Linked DNA regions of Arabidopsis thaliana. The protein of the gene in region 2 interacts with the protein of the main gene of each other region in a pairwise test. Each region holds a gene or a part of one and is shown on either strand. Other genes may lie near its edges.

Region 1 (14,483 bases), 5.6 Mb from region 2:
TCCTTTCAACATCGACAATGTATAATATCTAAAATCTAGAAATCTAGAAAAGTATAGGGATTGAAGTGTGGTTCTAAGTGAAAGAGAATCTTGTAAAGCTAAATATCATGAGCAAGCAATTTCGCGGCGCCTTGAAATGTGAGAGAGACCAAGTGAGTAAACACTTTCCAATTATACAAAAACATCAAATGCTTTTTCTCCATCTCATCTTTGTGATTTTTAGAAAAAGTAAATAAGAATAGCTATTAAAAAAATTAAAGTAAAAGTAGTTGTGAGAGAAGTACAATGAATTTACGTTTGGATCTCTTAAGCTGTTTTTGTAACTTTACTGAAGCATCTTCCTAATTCTGAGTTTTTTTCTATAAAAACATATTTTTACACAAAGTTGATGGAACTTCTTTTTGGGTAACAAATGACACTTTTATTTAGATAACTTAGCTGTACAATTGCTTTCGTATGTAAAGTTAATCACATTTAAAAACAAAGTTGCTAATCAATCAAATCTTTTCAAAGAAGAAGTGGACAATAGTTTGAATTCCTTGTGGATGTATCTATGTCATTTACAAATTCTGTAATCTCAGTCCCAACTGCTCTAATTAATCTTTCTTATTAAATAGTACATTCTTCACAAAAACAAAAATCAAACAAAGAAGTTACAGAAGAGTTATTCCACTTGAGACTAATCGATCCATTTCAACTATACTCGTTGGGGGTGAATTTTTGGATTTCAGAGATTAATCGATCGGGATGCAAAACGCGTAAATAAAACCGTTTGAGATGTTTTACTCTCGAAATTCTTTATGTTGAAGCTCTTCAGAAGTGCTCTCTCATAACCATACCGCAACAATGCGATCTAGAGTCCACTTGTTGACTAGAGGCTCCAATTGTTGGAACGTATGATCCGGAGTCTAGAGGCCTCAACACCCGAACCACTCAAGAGTCCCTTTAAACATTTAGAATGTTAAAAACGCCATGTTGGCTTTACAAAAACTTTGTCCATATTTTTGACGTACCAAACATGACTTCTAGTCGAAAAATAATAACCATTTTAAATTCATAGTAGGCATGAATTATGTCGCATGATACTTTATAAGAAAAAACATACCCGACTCATCGGCAAAGCAACCTCGTTAGGCCACATTTTTATACGAAATCAACATAAACTTAATTTCTTGAGATCCTTTATCATAGAAAGAAGTAATATAGAAATATCAAATGCTTACGTTCGTAAATTGTAGGCACGATGAAATTTGATAAAAGAGAACGTGCATAAAGTTTGAACTAGAAAAAGCAAGTGATCCACTACATCAAATGGCTTATTTCCACGTGGCGAACTGTGAGAAGATTGCTGCGCCATTAAGTAAAACATATAGCCGTTAATTTAAAAACATACGACAAGACTCATAAAGCCATGACTTGTGGCCGTACCTTTCCATGGTCTATATAATCCCCGAAGGGCTCTCACCTCCAATGTTCCTTTCCATGCTAATTAAGCAACATCCAAAACATAAGTAAAACACTATTATAGAAGCTCTTACAAAGAAAAAATATGAAGAAAGCTACGGCATTGATGAAACATATCGTTGCATTGTTGAGTTCCATGGCGAAGGCAAAATCTATAGCCATAAAGAACAAAACGAGTGCTTTCAAGACACGAGTACTCATGTTGTCTCTAGTGAAACACAAGAAACTCGGGTTCCGTTCCATTTCCAACAAGATTCACCACCTCTTGGGCCATGCGGATCAAGACGACGATAACGACCAGGACCAAGACAAGAACAAGGCTATAGTCCTCTACAACAGCAAGGCATCCACAATGGCTCATCATGAGGAATATGACGTTCACGAGGAGGAAAGCGACAAGTATCCTGATCTGAGGCACACGTTGTTCGAAGGAGAGGAGGACTTCGGGGACTTGGAGGAGGAAGGTCAAGGTAGTTCTGTGATAGATATGGTGAGGACCTCGAAGGAAGAAGAAGGAGAGAATTTCAAGCTAGAAGATGAGATCGACCATGTCGCGGATCTCTTTATTTCTAGGTTTCATAAGCAGATGAAGCTTCAGAAACTCTTGTCCTTCAAGAGGTATCAAGAAATGCTAGCCCGAGGCACCTAAACCCATATCCATATATATATATAAACATGTTGGCAATAGATATGAATAATAGATTCATATTATGATCTTTGCTAACGTACGTTCTTATTTTGTGTTGTCTATGATAAATCCTTCGAGTTCTCTTATTTTCTAGGATCGAAATATTACGGTCTCTTAGATCTGTTTTCATTTAATATGTTGAAGTTGAAGGAAGGATCTGCTTTGCGGAATATGTTTTCTTCCTCCTTGAGACCGTACTGTGTAAGATCTTTTAAGTGTTACAATATAGAGCATTATTTTTTGGCTTATATGTCACTCCAGGCCTTAATCATATGTTGGTCCATTTGTTTCATTCGCTCAGACTCAACAGTCAGAATTCATGATCTCGTTAGCAATTCACTTTGCCAATTAGAGACACAAGTTTATGTTGTAAAACTACACTTAAAATGTGTTAAAAGTGTAATCTTGACATCACTAAAGTAACTATTGATACACTGTGAAATGCAAAGAAAATTGGAAGCTAGATAATGCACAAAATAGTGAAATATGAAGTAGAGTGTTATAATATTGAGTCTTGACATCACACTCCAGACCCGGCCTTGAGTTTTACAAGCCTACAAGTGAACAATGAAATGGGCCGCATAAGTTTTATCTATTTTAGAATTTTGTTGAAAAAACAAAAAAATTCGGTCTCACTTGTCTCAAAAGTCAAACCCATGAACTGATGATGTACCCACCATAATTGAACCACTAGACTTAAAGAAAGTTTTCTAGAAAAAAGCCAAACTCAAATTATATTATTAGCAGCTGCAAACCTATGCTTCGCCTGGTTGGCCCAAGGGCCGGCTCTACATAAGTCTCCTTCTTTATCTTAATTTGACGCTCAAGCGACCTATTCTGTAATCAACCATAAACTTTGTCAGTTTTCTTAGATTGTAGTAGGTTGGATTTGTTTTTGAACTTTTAGTTTACCTAAGGAACAAAATTAATCATTCGTAACCATTTTAAGGAAACAAACTTAACCATTCATAACGATTGTTTCTGATTATTATCGATAGCAATTGTATTTAATTATTTTGATACTTATATCAAGTTTTGATTATATTCTAGCTGCATAATTTTAAAGTCTTTTAAACTATCCCAAGTGCAAGGCAAATTAAAGTAGTGAATAGGGTATCAACCCATAAATAAAGACGTAAACGCAAGAAGACTTATGAAAAGCTAAACTAATCTAGCTAGAGTTGTGATATAAGATGCTTTTGAGTTAAGAAATTATTTGTCATTTTAACTAAAAGAACACTATTAATAACATATAAACAAGTTAAACACGCAAATGCATTGGTGAGCAAATAATCAAGACGTATCTAATGTTGATATCTCTATTCATTATGTTAAATGAGTAATGGGTATTGAATATCAAAACTATCTTTAGTTGTTAATATTCGAATATAAGTACAAAATAATAGTACAGATAACTCCATGATTACATGTTTACAACACCAAAGCTGTAACTATATAAACTTCTACTATCTTATACTTAATTTGGCATTAAACTAAGTAGTGAAAAAGTAACCAACAAAACGGTAGGGATATAGAAGAACAAAAAAAGATAACTCAGATAATTTTACATAAAAATGAAAAGAATTTAAAATAAATATTTATTTGTATAGTTGTTTCTTGTTTTATTTTTCTACAACGTATATAATTAATCTAGAAGTTCTCTTTGTGGAAGTCAAACTTGGTAGTTGTCTTTCGAGAAAAATCCAAAGCTAGATTTTTTAATTCCTTTATCATTCCTGGCATTCCACAGTAGAAGACTCCTGCAATCAAAATTCATATTAGTATTTAGTCTAAATTCATCACTTTATTAATTATTATACAACATCACGTACATAACGAGATTAACGGTCGAGATTAGTTACCTATTCTTTTGCCGGGATGTTGAACAGCGATCTTCTTGTAGACTTGTCTCCAGTTAGGTTTAGCGAAGTGGGACTTGACACGTGTACCCGACACAACATCCACACCGTTCTTAGCGTGTTGCAACGACTGAAGCATGGCAATGAGAGCCACTCTTGCATCACCTTCCTCGTACACACTCGTGCAATAATTGTGAAGCTCGATGATTCCTTCCTCGTCTAACTCCGAAATCTCGTCCATTATTCCCTTGAACCACTCGAATGATCCTTGTTCCCTAGTCACCCAGTAGAAATAAGCTTTCCTTGTCTTAAACCCTTTACTATTGTTGTTACTGTTATTGTTCTCAATGTCGCTGTCGCGGTCAGGACCTTTCATGTTGTTGATGATGTCCTTAAGGATACTGATCATAGGCGTGGCTCCAATGCCGAGACCTACGAGGAGTACCACGTCGTATTTCTTGTAGTCTTGTGCGGGAGCACCGTATGGACCGTCGATAAGGACCTTCGGGAACGGGAGGTTTCCATCTCCTCCGTCTGCTCGGAGAAGACCGCTTTTACCGGCGGTAGGAGGTTTGCAAACCTCGGAGAAAACGGTCCTGAGCTTACGTGTCCAGTCACCGAGAGTGCGGATATGTACGCTCAGGTAATCGTCTCCGGGAGCTGATGTGATTGAGAAAGGATGCCATTCGAATGGAGATACGGCTCGGCAGTTCACCAACATGAACTGTCCACTTTTGTATTTGAATCCTTGTGGCTTCGTCATGTGTAGAGACAACACGTTCCCGGGGTAAACAGCCACCTGTTGTTACATATATATAGATTAAGTTCAAAGGCAATTTTCAAACTTTTATCAAAAAGAACTATAAAATAAGATGGTTTAAAAGTATTAGTTGAAATATTTCTTGAAACATAAGGTTTTCAAGAGATAAATAGAAATATATCTGACCTTGATCATCTTAACCGGTTTGATGCTTGATCTGAAAGCACGGAGCAGCCTCTCCGATGCATATAGAAGGATGGGTACAGCAAGATACATCCATGTCTACAAGAATCATACAAACAGGTAATAAATGTTATTAACCGGAAAAAGGAAAGAAAATAAGAAATTAAAACAGATAAAATGAGGTTTGAAGAGAGTACCGTTTTCTGATACCAAATCTTTGTGAGGTAGAGCTTGATACCATGGACAATGAGAAGAGCATAAACAATGATGAACAAATGGTGGGTGTACCAAAAGGCGTTGAAACCGGTAAGCTTCTTGAGGAAGTTAGGTAAGTTAAGCTTGTTACGTCGGAACCAAGGCGTCGCGAGTGTAAAGGCTATAGCCATTAGCACAACCATCACAATGCCAGTCCATCCTTCCACTCCTTTCACAAACCACCAGTAGCTAGTCGGTTGATCCCCAAAGTATTTTTCCATCGGCTCATAGGTGTCCTCATCCGCGGCAATTAAACGTGGAAAATCACACGTTAAATGGGCACCCGCATGGAGTAAAACACCGACGACTATCCCGCTTGCAATAACCTTGTGGAAGTTAAGACTATCATCAAAAGGAACGACAGTACCAAGCTTAGTCTTGTTCCTAAGCCAAGTGATGGTGTTTCGACAAACAGGCAACAATATGAGAGCCATGTTGAATTTGAGAGTCTCGGCGCCTCCTTTGGCGACACAAACGCAATAACCCATGACACCATAGGCAGCTTTGTTCTTGTACTGAATGAATTTATAAGTAAAGAGGCCACCACAGATGCCAAGCCATAACATCATTATCCATAGTCTCTGCCAATTGTCAAGTATGAAATATTTGATTTTCTCCGACCATCTCACTAAAGGGTTGCTCTCTTTTGCCGGTCTAAGCTTCTGACTTAACATCTGACTAAGTATCCTGCTGTCTCCCATCCGCACCGACTGGTTTGGTGCTTGTAATAGCAACATTTCCAAGTTTTCGATCTGTTTCACCAATGTCCATATCATATAATTAACTAAAACGTTACAATAAAACATTAATGTTCCAAACTGTTTTTCTTAAAAACACTTTTCATAGGTTTCTCCAATAATTAAAAAACAATATACTATCGGAAGCCGCCTAAGACTTTCTAAGCTTGGATTATAGTGTTAGTTCATATATTTTACAATTTTATTGGTCATTTCTTCATATCGTAACCACTAACCACCCATTGTCGAGATTTTGTTGATTGGTTTGGTAAAAAGTTCAAGATGGCCCAATAAGTTGGAAATTAAAAAACATCATGGTGACCCAATTTTGACCACTAAAGACTTCTAGAACGTTATGTTTTTCCACGTTTTTTCTAGTATTTTAAGAGTGGTTAAATTTACGACGTACATAATACCATTAGTGTGATTGAGTGGGTGAAAGTGGACCACACGTACCATAATAAACCCAGCATTGTCTGGGTCCAACTCTTCCATTATCAGTGCCGCATATTCTTTGGCTTGCTTTTGAATATTTGAGAGCTTGTTTGCAGAAGCACTAAGACTAATAATCTGCAATAAATTACCAACAAATTAGAAAACAAAAGCTAAAGTATTTGAAACATTAATAACCTAAGCTAAAGTAACAAAGACTACTACTCTATCTATCTATTACCATTTTGTCGTGTTCACATGAAGTTAATATATTGATGATGTTAATAGTAAACGTCAGCAGATAAAGTCAGTGGGGATTTGCGCGTGGACAAAATTGTCAAAATAATCAACCAAGAATAACGTATAAAATAAGAGAAAAAAAATTCAACCAGGAATATGAATAAATATAAGATAAAAAAAATGTATAAATATAATAAAATATTTGAAAAAGATAATTATTGAGTGGTGTGTGTGTTTTCTCACCTCAGCCACCTCTTCTTCTGTTACTCGCCCATCTTCATCTTTGTCCACCCTGACCAAACAGTGATGTCATATATTAGTTACAAATCCACCAAAACTCCACAAATGATTAATATTACTACTTTTGGTCCTTAAATTCTGATGACCGTTTAATTTTCATTAAGAGTCAATATTAAACGACAAATAGTGATTACGCGTTATATATTTATTGTGGGTTAGGTGAAGATATGTAAAAAAAAGCTTACATGTCAAAAAAGACTTGGAGTTTGGCATCAAAGCTTTCGTCTGAGATCTGTTCCCAGAATATCCTAAGCTGTTCCTTTGTGATTGCATCGCCGGAGACGTTATTCCGGCGAGCTAATGCTCTAAAGAGCTGGTCAGCGAAGTCTTTAGATTCCTTATTCATTCCTAGAGTAAAAAACAAAACAAAAATGAGACTAACACAAAAATGGAAACATATAGTACTAATAGAATTGCTTAGTAAGAAGTGATTTACTTACCTAAGCATTCCCAAAACTTGGCAGAGAGTAAGAGGCCGTTGGAATCAGCGGAGAGTTTATCGAAACGTTGGTCGACGGCCGGCCATGCGGCCGTCTTGGTGGCAATGAACTTGAGACCTTTGAGTGCGTGGATGGCCGCGGAGCTCGTGCGGTCAAACCGCCGCACGGCCGGGGAGGGACGTCTAGAGAACACGCGGCGGAGCTCGCGGGAGGCGTTCTTGATGCGTGAGGAGGTGCTTCGGAAGAAAGATAAGGAGGTGGTGTTGTTGAGGCTGCTCTCGAGAGTCTTCTTCGTAAGAAGGGCTAGCTCCGGGTCCTCCAGGTGGCCTCCACCTCCAGCTGCTTGTTGGACACTATGGACGGCCACCGAGTCGTCCCTGATGTCTAGCGTGATCTCCACGTACTCATCGTCATCACCACGGCCGCCAGCAACACTATTGCTTCTCTTGGGAAGATCGTCGGCGAATCTTGCGTTTTTCTTGGACGCACGTTTAGGCCGGCCAAGCGGACCGCTAAAGGCACCACGGTCGCTAGCGATGCTCTCCGTGTCCGAGTTGGTGTCCGAGTTAGCTCCTCGTAGAATCCCAAGTTCATGGTCGTTACTTGAATTGCCTCGTCTCATTTTCATCGAATTCGAGAAACCAAAAAGATCTCACTAGATTTGGCCAAGAAAACCACAGAGATCTATACAAATAAACACCCGTAAGGTTACTGTATTAGTTGATAGAGAAAAAATAACCGCTCTCAAAAGGTGTTTGATTTTTGTGTATGGAAGAAATTGATTTTGTTTAAAATATATTTATAGAGTGAAGGAGGAATAGATGAAATAAATGGCATGCAAATTGCCATTCTTCTGTGCTAAATCAGGGAAGGTAGTGGGAAACTATGGATGGACCGCTCCGGTCTGGTCAAAATCCTTTACTGACCATTTATTTTGACTTTTTTTTAATTTCCTTTTTTTTTTGTTCTTCTTCTATTCTTCATTTCTTCCTTACCTTTTTTATTTATACCGTGTCATACATTTCAAACACCGAAGTCATTTATACACCAACCCCGTGTGTGAATTAACAAAGAAAAACAACCCCGAGTTATGTCAAACACCGAGTCATTTATAAACTTTTGTTTGAAGAACTTAAATTGTTATTTTTCAATGTATTTGGCAATCATGCATATAGTATCTAACTTTTCCATAAGTCAATCTATAATTCATTTTGGATCGTATATTGATGATACTATATAAATATGTTGCTTCTAACATTTGGCTTGTAAACTGTATTCAAATGTATATCTAACCTACTGTACCGAACAAAAAATTATTATGGATTCTTGTACAAACTCCATGTGAGATGTATTGTTCATTTTCTGTTTTTTCTTTTTTCTTTTTTGATAAAAACACATTTCTGTTTTATGTAAATATGAAAGTCAATTAGCTAGATCATCAAACTATAACTATCCAGTCTATCATCGATGACTTATTTTTCGTTTGAATGTGGTAGTCTTAAAGGAACATCGTTCATGTTCCATAATGGATAAGAACAGATAAGCGATCCGATCGCTAAAAAGAGTGGACATGCTTAAGTTTATTTGTCTCTTGGGCACTGACCTTCTACTTTGGTTTCTTGTTTGGAGTATACTTTAGACAAATAACACAGTAATTAAAATGACTTTTGAAATGACAAAATGAGATTTAATTAATAAAATGAAAATTTTATGTTATTTGAGGTAATTCCTCTACATAAAGACAATTTGAATCTATTAGCATTATACAAACTAGCGGAGATATCTAAAGTTTATATTGTCTGCATCAATACGACTTACTTTAATTAGTATTGAAGTATTTAACTTAGTCATTCATAAACTCTATTTTATATATACTAAACACAGATTCTCGTAATAAAAATAAACCTAAGTGTATGCATAAAAACGGAATTAGGGTATAGATGCTCACTTTTGAGCTTTTATAGTTTTTGATAACAAAATTATAAAGCGTAATACATAAACTAAAATTCAAAGATCATAATTAAAAATTATGTGTTATTTTAGTAAACACTAGTCGGATAGTGTTATATTTAATTGATATAACAAGATTTTTGTATTGCTAGAGGTAATATTTCTATATATATAAACAATTTTGTAATATATTAGCATCACAAGAACTAGAGGGGATATCTAAAGTGTATTTTTGACATCAAGAAGATTTTTTTTCTAATATTGAAGTATTTTTATTTAGCTATTTTTAAGAGTAGCATGAAATAGAGGGCAAATGAGTAGTATAAAAACATAGAGTTATGCAGGCATCATGAACAGATGTTTTGTCTGTTAACCAAAACTTCGACGCCGCCCACGAGAAAAGTCAGTTTAAGGGTCTTAAATAATTTACCAAATGGAAAAGAGAAATAGATACATAGATGGAGACAAAACATATGATATAATTGAGCACATAGTACAAATCGATGGTTTGTTTTCTTTGTCCCTATTTAAATAGAACCCGATGAGAAAGTAAGGTGGCTAAAGAAGATATATAGTTATTATCAAAATAAGAAAAGAAGAAAAGTTAGATAGTCTAATAATCGCTGTTAATTAATTAGAAGACGAACCTTTGACTTATCTCCACTGCTATCAAAATTGTGGTAGTTCACAAATAAAATGACCCTAACCATACACTATTCACACGTTACGGCTACATATACGTTGTACTATACAACAAAACTGCAAACGATGTTTATCATCACCATACGGAAGATCATGACGCTTATTGGTGATCATTCTTTATCTTTTTTGAATGTTAAATTTCTTTAACGAAAAAAATGATCACTGTTAATAACGGCGTAACAAGGTTTATTTTTCGTAGTTAAAAATAAAATAGTATTGCTAAAGATGATTATAATGGATATGAGATGAAGGTATGATAAGACTAAGAGAGCAATTTAACAAGTCTTTTGATTCAGTTGTGCGGTAGCTAAATCGCTAAACCATCACATGTGCGATTGAACATTTGTTTGAATATAATATGCTTATGTTGGTGGCTCCCACAACTTGCCAACATGTGTATTTTCGACAAAAGGCTTTGCTTATATAGCCATGAAGTTTTAATTTTTCTACGATATACCGTATGTTTACAAAAGTATAGCATAAATTGGATTCCATATGGGATGTGAAGATGAAGATGGCATTTGTTTATTTCTAACAAAAACAATTAAGGTTTTGGTTGATGAAACTTATTTCTTCACCTCCCTTCTCTTCTCTTCTTTACTTTCCGATTCCGATTAAATGAAGCTGCAAACAACAATAACATTTTTGAACTCCAACACAAAACGTTAATAACGGTAAAAAAAAAAACGAAAGTAAAACTTACGAGATTGTTAATGGGGTTCTTCCAGTAGAATCCATGAATGATTAGAAAGACAAGATTGCAAGCAATGAGAACGTAAATCGGTAAGGCATGTATTCCCATCCACTCTAACACAAGGCTTGCTCGTTTGTATCCATAAACGTCGACCTGTGAAGATAGTGAGAGATAGATTTACATTTTAACCATGAGTGATGCTTTCATTAGGAGTCTCAAGATAATAGCAAACCAAACCATTAGGTATATCGCGGATAACAAAAATCCCGAGGCCCCTGAGGTGACACACATGTAACTCAATGTGTATAGAGGTTTATTTAGATGCATTCCTGCAAGCAACCAAAAAAACGAATGACATGTGATTTACTAAGGTATTTTGATCTTGCAATGAATTAGGACAACAAATGATGTAAATGAGAGCTATAAGAGTCAAGGAAGATACCAAAGAGGTTCAGTGCGAGACCTAACATCAGAAGACAAAAAGAACGTAAAATCCATTGATTCAAACGCTTTTTGTGATCCTGTAAAAAGTTAATTACATATAGCAACAAGTAAGTTTCTGATAAGATAAAAAAAAATGCTATACAACTGATATTCTTATTCCAATTCACCAAAACCATAGGGACTAGACTAACAAGAGACGCTTAACGTACGTCTTATGCTAATTGAAGGCTCGTTATAAACCTGTCCCTTACTACCATTTCTCTAACCAAAACACAACAGCTCTAATATGCTACATAGAGGAGACATATAGCTAAGAGTTGAGCAGAGCAGCCGAACTTCTTCATAAAAAGATATGTTTACCTTGAAGTGGATGATAATATGGCCATAGTGCAGACCCACTAGACATGTTACGGTGGCCATCAACGAACTACAATTAAACAAACTTGCAAGTTATTTTCTGAACAATGATAAAACACAACTTACTATTTAATATTTTTCTTGGAGAGTAGAAGCAGAGACCTTAAGAGGCCTTCGGGGTCAAAAGGCGCTTGACACCAAGAAGGAGCGTCTGGAGGTAATGGCCCATTGTTTGGATAATTTATACTGCATTGCTGAGAATATATAAGAGATCAAATGAAATGGACATAAAACAAAGATTGAGAAAAACAGGACTTGGGTTAAAATCTAGAACCTTGGTTCGTGCATATACAGGTTTTCTGTACAAATGCTGGATTCCTAGAAACATACGGTCAAGCATTCCAACTGCATTACAGCCTGGTCCAGTGTGACCTCGTACCCCACATTTCACCTTCAGATTCTAAACAGTTTCGATATTATGACCGCGACAGAATATGTAACTAAGTTGTTGTAGAAGGAAGAAACCATTATCTAACCAAGAATGTTGTCAATGTTGATCCTTGGTCTTCTTTTAAAATCTGATACTCCCAGTCAGGTACATATAAACCATATAACAAGGACAAATATATAGTTGTGATAACAAAAGCAACCACCCTGTCAAATACCAGGACAAAATCAAACAAGTGCATGAACATCATATGTGTACAAACTCAAGATTAAGACACTTACCAATGAAATCTATATTTCTTGATCATAGATAACTCTGAGCTAACATTATGGTTTCCCTTTAACCAAATCTCGCACAATGCAACAACTAAGTATGCTATCGCTATTCTCTGAAAACATAACAAACAAAAGAAAATACTAATACTATTACAATAAGAATGTTGGAACACATAATTTTTAATGCTAGTTCTAGAGAAAACACTAGATATGTATACCTGTAATATACCCATGAGTCTAATTTTTTCTACATCTATTCCATAAGTTAAGTTATTAAGACCATGAATAAATCCTCCTGAAAAGTTAAAAACAATAATGAATGTCATATATCACATCATCAACACCTTTGGAGTTAAGAATATAAAATTAGAACCAAACCTTGGAGAAAAAGACCAAGTAATAGAAGTTTCAAAGATCGAATCAAAGCTTTTCTTGTTGCGACAAACCTACATGACAAGTTCTATAAACAAACATGTAGTGAGTCAACAAGCTAGTGTGGATTGAAGAATGAGACTCCAACATAGAATAAACAAAAAAAGAAGTTACCTTGTAAGCAAAGGCAAGAGAGACACCAACAATAAATAAGAAAAAAGGCATGACAAAATCCGCTAGTGTGACACCATCCCAAGGTGAATGATTAATAGATGGTAAAATCCCTCCAACATCATCCACAAGTATCATAAACTGTGGTTAAACACAACAATTATACTCTAATTACATTGTTGATCACGTATTAGAAAGTGATTAGAACAAAAACTTACTGCGACGGTAAGACCGCGAAAGACATCAAGGGAAACTAATCGTTCCTTGTCGGGAGGAAGAGAGGAAGAACGAGAAATCTGAAGAGCAGACTCAATGTCTTTCTTCTCTCGCCATTGATGATCATTATCATCATTGTCTTTGATTGCTTCGTACATCGTTAGTTTCGTTCGCATCACAACAAATTCATCTAGCGCAGGCGTCGTCTATATATAATTAGGAAAATATATCCAAAATTATCAAAAGTCAGAAAAAGAAACAGAACTTGATTTGCCTTAACGAGAACGGTTGGAGTGAGCCACTTGAGCCGTTTGTTTTACTGTTCAATAACCTGGGATTCGCACGTGGCTGTGTTGTGATTGGACCTTATCCGAACTTGATTCGCTCGCAGCGACTTTATCTCTTTTTTACTCTCTCGCTTTATGGGCCTGCAAATAAGAGAAAGCCCACGCTGAAGTGATAAGGTTAAAAATAAAAATCTTTTTACTGGTATGCTACTTCTACGAAGACTAATGCATATTTCGTTAAAATTGAAAAGAAACAAAAGTAAAATCTCCGATACATATTGGAGAATGTGTTTTTGCCAAGAAGAAGAGAACATACCGATGATATCCTTTTTTTATTGGATTCGCCAGAGAAACTAATGATTCCATTTCGAACTAAAATCGGAAGAGAAGGTAAGATTGTAAAAGAATCATGGAAGAGGAATAATTAGATTGTATATACCTAAAATCAGAAATTTGAAATTTGTATTATAATTTTGTAGAATTGGAGACATATCTTATTATATAATCATTTTTTTTTTGAATTCCTTACTTTTTAATGAATTAATATCTAAATAATATTTCAATAGTAATATTTTATATTTCTATATATTCAAAATTTGAGATAATGATTAATCTAAACATATTAAATAATTTTCTTAACTTTTTATTATTAATAAATAATTTACGAATTTAATTAAAAATAATATATTTAAAATTTAAAATGCTTAAATAAATAGAAAGAGTATTATGGTGCATTTTCAATATATAAAAAAATGTTTTCAAATTACAGTATAACCTCTATAAATTAATAGTCTATAAATTAATAACTTTTATAAATTAATAAATTCTTCTGGTCCCGAATTGGGACCAGTGTAAAAAGTGACACAAATCGATAAATTAATAAGATAATAATTTTTTAAAAAAATTTTATGTAAATATATGGTCCATCAATATCATAAATTAATAATTGTATAAATGTATCAACTATATATATATATTATATGTAAAAGATTTCTTTATAATATATTTATAATAATTTTTTTGCTTAAATTCATATTTGTTATTTGTTTGACTATAGTTTTCATATTTTATTGTATCAATACTTTTGGTGCTGTTTTTAGACATTATTATTATGTTTTACTTGTAACTGGTTCTAGAAAGATATTTTCTATAATAAAGAAATTTTGTAGAAATTTTCAAAAAATTACCAAATTAGGAAAATCTTTTTAT
Region 2 (11,770 bases):
GGATAAAATCAGAAAAATAAACCTCTTTCAAATAGGAATAAGAAAAAAAATAGGAATTAATCATTTTGATTTTCTAGTTGATGTATTGATCATATAGTTGAGTATTCTTATAATGTAAATTAGCCGATCAAGATTTAAATATACTTTTTAAACGTTTCTTTTTAAGCTGATTAGGTTTTAGAAATTCTAGGGGAATTAGTTTCATGAGTTTTTATAATTTTGTTTTGCAAATATTGTTCAAAAATCAAAAATCATTAAAAATCTGAAAACATATTTATGGCCTAAAGGCTAAAAGTTGGATATAATTTATTTATTTTCGGTTGGATATATTTTGCTTAGTTTTATCCCGTGTGTATTTTTTCCTTATTTATATATAGTAAACGAGAACGTAGACAGAACAGAGTTGGGATGGAGACAAAGAAGAGAAGAAGAAGAAGAAGGAGATGATTTTCTTAACAGATGATCTATGGGCAATTATACTTGCGAGATTACCACTAACAATCATCACCACTTCAAAACTAGTTTGCAAGCAATGAAATCGCTCATAGAATCTCCCTTTTTCCGCAAACTTTTCAACACCCACCATCAAAACTCTCATTCTTCATGGTCAATCCTCTGTAGAGTCCTACCTGAAGAAGTCGTGGCTCACTACGAAAGCGAGACTTGGGGTCTTTCACGATCTCTAGGTTCTTACATTTCTTCTTTCATAACCCACAAATTCAATACTCAATTCCCATACGTTACACTCGTCGTGGCTTACACTCATGTTGGATTGATTTTGATCAGTTCTTGCAACAAATTACTAACTTACTATGTGGCTAATCCGATCTCAAGACAATGTGTCGATAATATATCACTAAAATTTTCTTCAAAAGTTTCTCTAAACTGTATTACAATGTTTTCACAAACTTTCATCGATACCTAAATAGTTTATATCTTTATTTTCATAAAAATTTGTGATTAAAAATAAAATTCGTTAGAAATTAGAAATTTTATTAATCTTTGTAATAAGAAAGTAAACTTATAACAATTTTAAAGTATCTTTTTAATATTTTCCATTTTAATTTTAGTTAAATACATATTTTTCTTCCTATATGATTGATTGCATCTTAAATCGCATATCTTAAAGTGGCAGAAGAGTAAATAAAGTGGTCATCAAAGGGCAAAATAGTAAAAACACCACCTCGACTCTTTTTTTCTTCTGTCTTGGACATAAAGCTTGATTCAATTCCATTCCTTATTGTTATATACACATCTCTGATTCAACTCCACCGAATTCAGAAGATCGAAGAAGATGAGTAGAGGAAGCGGCGCTGGTTATGATCGTCACATCACTATCTTCTCACCGGAAGGTCGTCTCTTTCAAGTTGGTCAGTACTCTCCGATTCCCACTCTCAATTCCTTTTCGAGCTCTGAAAACTGAATACACACTTTTGCTTTTGTAGAATATGCCTTCAAGGCCGTGAAAACAGCTGGTATTACTTCAATCGGAGTTCGTGGGAAAGATTCGGTTTGCGTCGTTACCCAGAAGAAAGTTCCTGTGAGTGAATCTCTCTTTTCATTGTCTCTCGTTTTTTTTAGGGTTTGCAAAAAAGTTGCGTCTTTTATTGAACCATTGTATGGATTTAGGTTTCTAGTAGATTGAGGATTGTTGGTGTATCTTACCCATTAGGGTTTTTGTTTTTGGGTTGGGACAGGACAAGCTTTTGGATCAGTCTAGTGTTACACATCTGTTCCCTATCACCAAGTACATTGGATTGGTAGCTACTGGCATTACAGGTTCGTTTCATGACCCTTTTATCTCCTCTTAAGCTGTAGAATTTATTGCTATGGATGGTAATTTGAACATGTGAATTTCGTTTTCAGCTGATGCAAGGTCTTTGGTTCAACAAGCAAGGAATCAAGCAGCTGAATTTCGGTTCACTTATGGATATGAGATGCCTGTTGACATTCTTGCTAAATGGTATCGTTGCTAATCGACTTGGTGTCTCTTTTTTCAGATGGTTCTTTAACTTCTTAGTGGAGGCTGGCTTATAGTTATTGATCTATCTAGCTCTTCTGTGATAAATGGTGTTGCTGATAAATAACTATTTTACTTACAGGATAGCGGACAAGTCACAGGTCTACACTCAACATGCTTACATGAGACCCCTTGGAGTTGGCAAGTTTGCTATCTTTTTCTTTTCTTAAGACCAATCTAGACATTAGTGCCTACTTGTGTTTGATGCGTATTATATCACCTTCACGTTTTGATGAATATTATTGGCTGACAAAAGGAATTTTCTTGTTGTCTCTCTTTATGAAGTCGCTATGGTAATGGGTGTTGATGAAGAGAATGGTCCCTTACTTTACAAATGTGACCCAGCTGGACATTTTTACGGTCACAAGGTATTATCTATCACTCGTAGCTTATACTTTAACTAAACTTGTCTTCTAATACTTACTGTTTTGATTGCTTTTGCTGGCCTGCATCAAGATTTATTGATAACATATCTGAATAATATCGTCTTACAAGCATATTGACATACACTACACACTATTTACTGCTTGTCACTAACATAGAAGAAAATGCCTCAGTCTATAAGTCATTGTGATAAGCATAAACGAAAAAAGTATAATATGACTATAGGAGTGAGTTAGTCATAATTGCGGAGAGTTTTGGTCATTTGGGTTGTTTGTGGTAAGCCTTTCAGACTTTGGGATAGGTTTGGGTACTCTATAAGATAGCATAACTCTCACTTTAGTTCTTTGTATCCGGTTGCTCCTGGGTTCATTAGTTTACTTGTTTTCATTTGTAGATTTACAGAGAAGAATAAAGGAAACTTTTTCAATCCTGTCTTTCTCATTTCGCTGATCTTAACACTTTTTAGGAATCTTATGTATAAAGGTTTTTAAGCATCGTGCTCATTTCTACTTTTAGTAACTGATTGATCCTAGGTTGAAACAAAACACGTTTTGTGTATCTATTCAATGACATGACTACATACAGGTTACACATGAGTCTTCTGGACTATATGACCAAGATCTCTAGAGGATAGGATATACAAAAAAATTATTCTCTCTCTCAAAAGTCGTAGATATTTCATGTTAATTGAAAAGCAGCTAATAGACAAGCAACTGTATTCGTGCAGGCAACTAGTGCTGGTATGAAGGAACAAGAAGCAGTCAATTTCTTGGAGAAGAAAATGAAAGAAAACCCATCTTTCACATTTGATGAAACCGTGCAGGTAAATTATTTGCATTATCTTTCATATTTTCCCTGCTTATGTTCGAATACGGTAACATATGTTCATTTAGCTGCTGATTACTTGTGCTGTTACTTTGTAGATACAAATCTATTAATATTCTTGATGAAGTACCAAATGCACATTGTTCCTCACGTTGATATTTTTATACGTTTGTAGACTGCCATATCGGCTTTGCAATCTGTTCTTCAAGAAGACTTCAAGGCTACTGAGATTGAGGTATACAAAACTCTTCTCGTATATGATGGCAAGTTTATTGTATCATTTGTGGGTTATATATCTTATCAAACCGTTTGGTGAAATGATAGGTAGGTGTGGTGAGAGCAGAGAACCCGGAATTCCGTGCATTGACAACGGAGGAGATTGAGGAGCATTTGACAGCCATTAGTGAACGAGACTGATCAACTTAGTGAAACAAGTGTGAGTTACGTTGCTTCGCTTCTATCAGACATTCCTCTAAAGTGACCACTCTCCATCGATCTTTTGTTTGGTCTTCCTTCCATAATTTAATTTACTTAGTCAACCCAGCAAACTTGAAAAACAAAAATGCACTGTAATGCTTAAGGCTGTGAGAGTTTCCGAGTCTTTTGACTCTTCAGAAATGACACCAACTTTACTCATATCATCACTTTCTAGCTTTTTATTTCTATCGTTGCAGTTGCTGTGTCTTCGTCTTCACCAGTTCTTAAACTCGAATTCGTTTTAAGGTTTCAGTTGTTAGAAAGTGAGGGATCATTCTTACCTTTCAACAAAAAAGGTTTAGGTTATGGATTCCAATTTTTTAGGATCAGTCAAAAATTTTAGGATCAGTCAAATTTTTTTTACATCGGCATAATGCTTAGGGCTGGGCATAAAATCCAAAAATTGATCAAAAATCCGGCTCCGAAACCAAACCGAACCGAATAGTCACAAAATCCGAATACATAATGGATATTCCTATCTGAATTATCCGAAACAAATCCGATCCGAACCAAAAATTGAACGGATATCCGCTAATCCTAAATAAAATTATATATCTAAAAATATTAGTTATAATTTATATCCAAAAAATACTAAATAGCAAAAATATCCGAAATAACTTTACTGTCCGATTTTTTTACTTTTATTTGTTAAAATTATACAATGTTTTGCAAAATTAAACCAAATTTTAGTAAAATTAAACGATTTTTATTAAAATTGTACAATTTTTTAATTTGTTTTTTTTTTAAATCAAAAACTGATCCGAAACCGTTCCGAATCTAACACCATCCGAACCGAAACCGAATTCGAATAATCATATAATCCGAACGGATAATAAACTCCCTCATCCTAATTATCCGAATCTAAAATAACCCGAACCAAATCCGCTCCAAAATCCGAAATTTTCATTATTAATGCTTGCAACACCCAAAATCACTCCTAGATAAACTTACTTGAGCCTAGTTGAAGGCCTATAGGCTATATGAGATGATCATTTTGCCCTGTGGCCTCTTAAACTTTAATGTCAATTATTTACAAAAGGAAAGTAAAGTGATCCTGAAAACTATCAATTAAAAAGTGAAGTATGTGTACATCATATAGGTTCGTGTCAAGCATTACAGACATAATGATTGTAAGTTTAGATAGTACTTTATCAAACTCCAGCTGTTAGAGACGTGGATGACTTAAAAAACATATAGACGAGTGATCTATAACGCGTCTTTCTATAACACCAAATGTATTTTTTTCTTTTCTTTAGGACCAAAAGTTATTACAACTTGATTAGAAAAACAACAATATGTTTAACACTTTTGCTTTCTTTGATTGAAGAATCAAACAAGGAAAAAAAAATCAACTTTACCTCTAACCAAAACCTATTCTAGGTATAGAAAGCAAAACCTAAACTAGATTTTTTTTGTTTTTTTGGTGGTAAGAATGTATTACTATTTACATCTTATGTAAAAAAAATGAAAAGATTACGAATTGAGGATAGAAGAGAACTCAGTAGTCAGTACCGTTCCCCTCCGGCCTCGTTACGCATTGGTGAATTATATCCGTTTCTCAAAGTTATCCGGTGGTTTCTTGCCGTGTGTGCGGGCGACCGGAACTTTTGATGGTTATCAGTCGTGGAAACGTTGCGAGGCTTGTCGAAGTTTTGAAGACTTGTCTCTTTAACTTCACGGCGTGTTTTGTCGAAGTTTTGAAGACTTGTCTCTTTAACTTCACGGCGTGTTTTGTCGAAGTTTTGAAGACTTGTATCTTTAACTTCACGGCGTGTTTTGTCGAAGTTTTGAAGACTTGTCACTTTAGTTTCACGGCGTGGCTTGTCAAAGTTTTGAAGACTTGTCTCTTTAACTTCCCGGCGTGGCTTGGTAGGAACGGTGTAAGTGAATATCCCAATGGGAATATCATCTTTGTAATCTTTGATGTCTTGGAGAACGGAGACAACAGTGCTAATGTCTGGCCTTGTCTTTGGTCGGTACCTTAGGCATTGATAAGCTAGAGTTGCTGCCTTTCGTGCTCCGGTCTCTGAGTACTGATCTTCAAGCCTCGGGTCCATTATTCTCCCGAGTTTACGTGCGTCGTTGAGCATTGGACGAGCCCACTCAACGAGGGTTTCTTTTCTTGATGATCTCGCTATGTCCACCGATTTCCGACCTGTCAACAGCTCAAGCAACACCACTCCAAAGCTGTACACATCACTCTTAGCCGTTAAATGACCTGTCATTATGTACTCTGGCGCCGCGTACCCTTGTGTGCCCATCACGCGAGTCGACACATGTGTATCATCGCCTTGTGGTCCGTCTTTTGCTAGCCCGAAGTCCGAGAGTTTCGCTGTATAATCCTGAAAAAAGAAATCAAAACATCAAAAGTCTATTCAAATCCAAAAGCAATTATAATTTTGAATGGTGACCATGGATGTAATTTGCGGTTCCACCATAATTTGAATAGAAAGAAACAAATATGTCCATTTTAGGTTATTGTCCGCTCTAAAACTAAAATGGTCTAGTTTGGTGTAACCCTTAAGATCAAAAAAGAAGAATGCTTGCTTACAGAATCTAACAAGATATTAGAGGCCTTGAAATCGCGATAGATGATGGGCTTCTCGGCTTCATGTAGAAACTGTAGACCCTTTGCAGCTTCATAAGCGATGTTCAACCTCGTTGTCCATGGCAGCGGTAGGGAGCACCCTGAAACAATTTCATCAGTTCTGGTTCTTAAAATGAAATGATCATTTCTATTTGATGGTTACAATAAAAAAAAGTCAACTCACTTCTGAAGAGTTGAGACTCCAAACTTCCACGAGGCATGAACTCATAAACAAGAAGTCTATGTGCTTCCTCGCAGCAATATCCGATCAGCTTCACCAGATTCGGATGCTTTAGTTTTCCCAAACACATAACCTCCGTCTGAAAAAAATCACCCCAAAAATAATATTAGTTAGACATTTAGACTCAATATTTTTGTATCTTAAACAGAGGACTAATGAAATGAATGTACGAACCATAAACTCACGGTGACCTTGAAGACCATCAAGATCAAGAAGTTTAACGGCAACGGGCTGAGCCTTAAGACCAGGACGGAGCTTGTCATCGATGAACCCTTTATGAACCGGACCAAACCCTCCTTCACCAAGAAAGTTGCTAGAAGAGAAGCTTTGTGTTATGACTCTAAGCTCTGCTTGTGTGAACACGTGGAGATCCGAGCCGGCGAGGGAGATTGAGAGATCTTCGGACAAGGTAGTGGAACTTGGATTACTTATGTCTAGAATCGACAATCCAAGAAACGATTTCTGTTTGGTAATCACACGTTCACCATCATCTTTCTTTGTCTTCTTGGGAGAATATATGTTGTCTGGATCTTGGAAACACAAAACCATCAATGATCTCCAAGATGATTTCTTCTTCACCGCCATTGTTTTGTTTGTGGAGGTGTTTTTTTTTCTTTTTCGAAATCTTCTAATGGTTTTGGTTTGTAATGGGAGAAAGAGATTTTAAAGTCGATGAGAAGAGGACCAAGACTTTGTATATTATTTCCTAATTCATATTTACTAACAACTATGTTACTTTCCTTACCAAAAAGGCAAAAAATTAGTGTTTTCTATTATGGGAAATAATAGTTTAATTAGAGAAAGAGGACGACGACTTCTTGAGGTAGGTTTATACTTCTTTCTGAAGTTTTAACCACGCTTTGACATTGTCATGTAATTCATGTTTAGACGAATAAGTTCTTAGTCGTGAGTGGACGGCTAAAAAGGAGAAGAAAATGACATGTTAACCTTTTTTCCTATAGAATTGTGAATACAATTAGATAATACCTTTTTCATACAATGATAGTTAGAATAGTAAAATTTTCTAATGGATTAGCTTTAGGAAAAATTAGCAAAAAAACATAGAAAACATGTAGTTTATTAGTTTTATGTTAATTAATGCCGTCAATGTGTTTCTTACCGAATTGATAAAAAAAAAAAAGCCCGAAAACATATGGTTTGGAAAAGCATTTGGATACTTAGAAATGTAAAAGATGAAGATTTATCAAAATGTCTATTACTATACTATATGTTTTTCAAAGAAACTAATAGATAGTCTATTATATAATTTACACTAATTTTCAGTTATTTGAATTCGATTTTTTTTTTTTTTTTTTTGAATATTTGGAAATTCAAAATTAAAAGACCTACATTTCCTACATGCGAGACCCACACTAGAATAAATTCATTTTATTTGACGAAGAAATCTCTCCCAACGTGTCTAAAACTCAATACCTTTATCTAAAAAATTTATTATTGGACCAACAACTTGTTGGTTATTTGAATTCGATTTGCCATCAAATATTCAAATATATCATTAGAAGTAACGGTAAATCTTCTTAAGACTAAATCCGAATATATTATAGTTTTTTTTAATATTAGTTAGAAATAAATTTAAAGAAACATTCTATGAGAATTGCACCCTATCTAATTCTACAAGAAATATAGTAAGGTCAAAATCAAGAATTAGTTGTCAAAATCATAGAAATTTCATTAAAATAAAAATATGATTTGGTAGAATTGCAATATGCGAGCGAGTCAAGCTTCTAGAAACACTAAGATAAAATATTACACAAATTATGTGAGCGCGTTGGCGAAGAAGGCGACTTGTTCACTCTGAGTTGTTGACATTTGCATTGTCCCACACAATGACGTAACATCATATGGAACTTTTTGAATTTGAAGCGGTTTTGAACGATAATAATTAATAGAATTTGCTAATTTGGTCGACTTTTTCTCTTACTTAAAATTAATGTGTACCGATTTCTACAATAACTACGTTTTGATTTCACGATGTAAAAATAATTGTTTCAAATGTTTTAGATGCATGAACTAAGGAAAAATATATCGAAATTTACCTACCACACTACTTTAGTGATGGTTTACATACCATAAGGGGGCTAGTCACGCGATCAGTCTAGTTTCTATGTCGCATGTTCAAGCCCTCATGCAAGCATGGGCCATGCTTGATAGTGAATTTTGTGGGGAGAGACCCTCATGCGACGTACCGGATAGAGGTCGGGAACTCTTTAAACTTGTTGTGTTAAGTTTCTTGGTCAATCAATCAAATGATCCGCACATCAAAAACTCTTAAGAGTATTTAATATGTGTGGCATAGACAATAATGGATAAGAGAACTTATAATTTCCAAGAGTTTTTTCTAATGTTTTCATGCCTATGATAAGTCAAACGATAAGATATATGTCAGGTGGTTTTAGTTACGAACCACCAATATTTTTGACATGACGGGAACTATCGAGTAACATTACATCTATCAAGATTTTAGGGATTGCATCTTTATAGGAATTTCATTGGTGGTTTCTAAATATAAGTTTCTTAACATTGAAACAACAAAAATAATATTATTTAATTATGTGTGTTTCTTAAATATTTTAGAAATTCTCTTAAAATTTTTTTATATAAGGTATTTTGGAGATGGTTTCTTGTTAATCAAGAAACTCACACATTTTTTTATAATAAAATTTATCTCTTTAAAATAAGAAACTTAAGTTTAGAAACCATTGATGAGGTTGCTCTTAGATGCATGAAAGCTGCCACCTCAAAATCAAATACTGACGTATCAATTGTTTAACCGACTGCGACGCCTGAGATGAAATTAATATTACATACTTTAGTTTTGGGTTTAGGGAAATTACAGGTTTCGCCTCAGAACCTCCTGATATTAAAAAAAAAAAAAAAATTGCTCAACCGACTGGCAGCTAAGGACGTATCATAGTTCAAATTGTTACCATAAATAATTTTTTTTGCAAGTAAAATGTTAAAACAAAAAAACGAATTTATACTTATGTCAGTTTACTTGTGTTCAACTACAATTAATTGTTAGCAAATTGTTATCGCATACAATTATTTATCAGTTATGACTATTCATTAATACTAACAATTTTATCTTATCTTCATCTTTAGGACTAATTATGCTAGGAAAAACGGTCATTTCATACCCCAGCTAAAGTAGTATGTTCAATTCATACCCAACGTTTGTTGTTGTGCAAATCCATACATTAACAAACCAAATTTTCAAATTCAAATCCCAAACTCACACCATTCATGTCAATACATGCCTAAGCCGTGACGGTGTTACGAAACCGTTAACGGTTGCTCACGTGGATGCCACGTATGACACGACGTCGTTTTAGATGAAAGAAGAGACAAACAAATTTTTGTAAAACGACGTCGTTTTTGTCGTCTTAAATCACCTTCTTCTTTTTTCTTTCTTTTTCTTTCACGACGACAATGTTCCATAAGCATCTATCGTGAAGAGCTTATATTAGTGGAATAGGAGTTCCAGCTCATAATCTCTATTGTGAGGAAGGAAAATGAGGTAATTTTCATTCAAATTTATGGTTTATAAAATTTAGGTTTTTTTTTATCAAATCATCAAATTGCGAGTGTATTGTTATAAAATGTAATGAATTCCTTTGGTATTTCTATAGTTTAGATGAGATTGTGGAGTTTTTTTAGTTGATAAGCGATATGTAATTTTATGAACACCAAGTGTTCGATAAAATGTCACAACCAAAAACTCACTTTATTTCTTTCTTATTCAGCACTGAAGATGCAGTTTTTCAATGCTACTACGGTGGGAACTTTGTTGTAGAGAATGGGATTAAAGTTAGTTATGTTGGAGGAGGTATTCTCAGCCTTGAAAGCAAACCACAAGTAGTATTGACTAATTTGATGGAGTCATTGAACGAATCTATTTGGCAGCAACGAATTTGGTATAAGCTTCCATATGAGGAATATTCAGAGCTTAAGCAATTGTGCAATGGAGATCAAAACTTTCAAAGAATGTGTCTTGCCGCAGTTTGGACAAAAGTTGTCGATATTTTTTTGGAGAAAGAAGAAAATGGTGATGCTGGAGATGGTTCTCATGTTGATAGAGTTGTTGGTGATGGTTCTCATGTGGATAGAGCTGTTGGTGATGGTTCTATTGGTGATGGAGCTGCTGGTGATGGAGCTGTTGGGGATGGTTCTGAGTGTGATAGAGTTTTTATTGACATGGAAGCAAGAGTTGAGCAGAACTTAGCAGGCTTTGTTGATGAAGAAGAGCATGATAATGATGAAAGTACCCCTCTGAACTCAGATTGTGAGGAAGGTGAAAGACGATATGTTAGATGCAAGAAAGGTAGTGGCGATATTAGAATAGAGCAAGTCTTTGACAGTATAGCTGAGTTTAAGGAAGCTGTGATTGACTATGCTCTTAAGAAAGGAGTCAATATTAAGTTCACAAGATGGGGATCAGAGAAATCTGAAGTAAGGTGTTCTATTGGAGGTAACTGCAAATTCAGAATTTATTGTGCTTATGATGAAAAAATTGGAGTGTACATGGTGAAAACATTCATTGATGAGCATGCATGTACAAAGGACGGGTTTTGCAAAGTTCTCAAGAGTCGGATCATCGTAGATATGTTCTTGAATGACATTAGGCAAGATCCAACATTCAAAGTGAAAGCAATGCAAAAAGCTATTGAAGAGCGGTACTCATTAATTGCCTCCAGTGACCAGTGTCGGAAAGCTAGAGGAAAAGCATTGAAAATGATTCAAGATGAATATGATGAGCAGTTTGCTAGAATACATGATTACAAGGAACAACTTTTGGAGTAAGTAAAATATCTTTAAATCGATTTTGAATTTGATTCTTGTTTTTGTTTACAAGCTTATCTAACTTTGAAATTTGTTGTTGTAGAACAAATCTTGGTTCAACAGTGGAAGTTGAGACAATCACTATTGATGGTATAGTCAAGTTTGATAAATTCTATGTGTGCTTTGATGCTCTCCGGAAAACTTGGCTTGCGTATTGTCGCCCAATAATTGGCATAGATGGATGTTTTTTAAAAAATAATATGAAAGGACAACTCTTAGCAGCTGTAGGAAGAGATGCCAACAACCAATTCTATCCGGTTGCGTGGGCAGTCGTGGAAACTGAAAACATAGATTCTTGGTTGTGGTTTATTAGGAAGCTGAAAAGTGATTTAAAACTGCAAGATGGAGATGGTTTTACTCTTATTTCAGATAGGCA

Evidence for each region.
Region 1: the proteins of AT5G35580 (region 2) and RBOHD come close enough for resonance energy transfer, tested with the Arabidopsis thaliana proteins (one study listed by BioGRID).

The regions. Positions count from the first base shown.
Region 1 is NC_003076.8:19,391,088-19,405,570, reverse strand, and holds RBOHD (respiratory burst oxidase homologue D), read right to left. Parts: upstream 8,531-14,483; 5' UTR 7,987-8,530; coding exon 7,359-7,986; intron 7,267-7,358; coding exon 7,104-7,266; intron 6,911-7,103; coding exon 6,862-6,910; intron 6,517-6,861; coding exon 6,403-6,516; intron 5,962-6,402; coding exon 5,152-5,961; intron 5,054-5,151; coding exon 4,958-5,053; intron 4,811-4,957; coding exon 4,015-4,810; intron 3,913-4,014; coding exon 3,803-3,912; 3' UTR 3,510-3,802; downstream 1-3,509. Other genes in the region: AT5G47920 (transcription elongation factor), read left to right, coding at 1,550-2,113; AT5G47900 (heparan-alpha-glucosaminide N-acetyltransferase-like protein (DUF1624)), read right to left, coding at 10,608-10,634, 10,714-10,857, 10,942-11,033, 11,147-11,225, 11,509-11,575, 11,668-11,759, 11,840-11,965, 12,042-12,159 and 5 more. UniProt on the Arabidopsis thaliana protein: Calcium-dependent NADPH oxidase that generates superoxide.
Region 2 is NC_003076.8:13,757,293-13,769,062, reverse strand, and holds AT5G35580 (Protein kinase superfamily protein), read right to left. Parts: upstream 7,241-11,770; 5' UTR 7,120-7,240; coding exon 6,709-7,119; intron 6,614-6,708; coding exon 6,478-6,613; intron 6,395-6,477; coding exon 6,258-6,394; intron 6,049-6,257; coding exon 5,212-6,048; 3' UTR 4,957-5,211; downstream 1-4,956. Other genes in the region: PAA1 (proteasome alpha subunit A1), read left to right, coding at 1,295-1,370, 1,446-1,540, 1,698-1,779, 1,867-1,963, 2,103-2,161, 2,306-2,388, 3,132-3,227, 3,405-3,464 and 1 more. UniProt on the Arabidopsis thaliana protein: Involved in defense responses. Acts as a negative regulator of plant immune responses.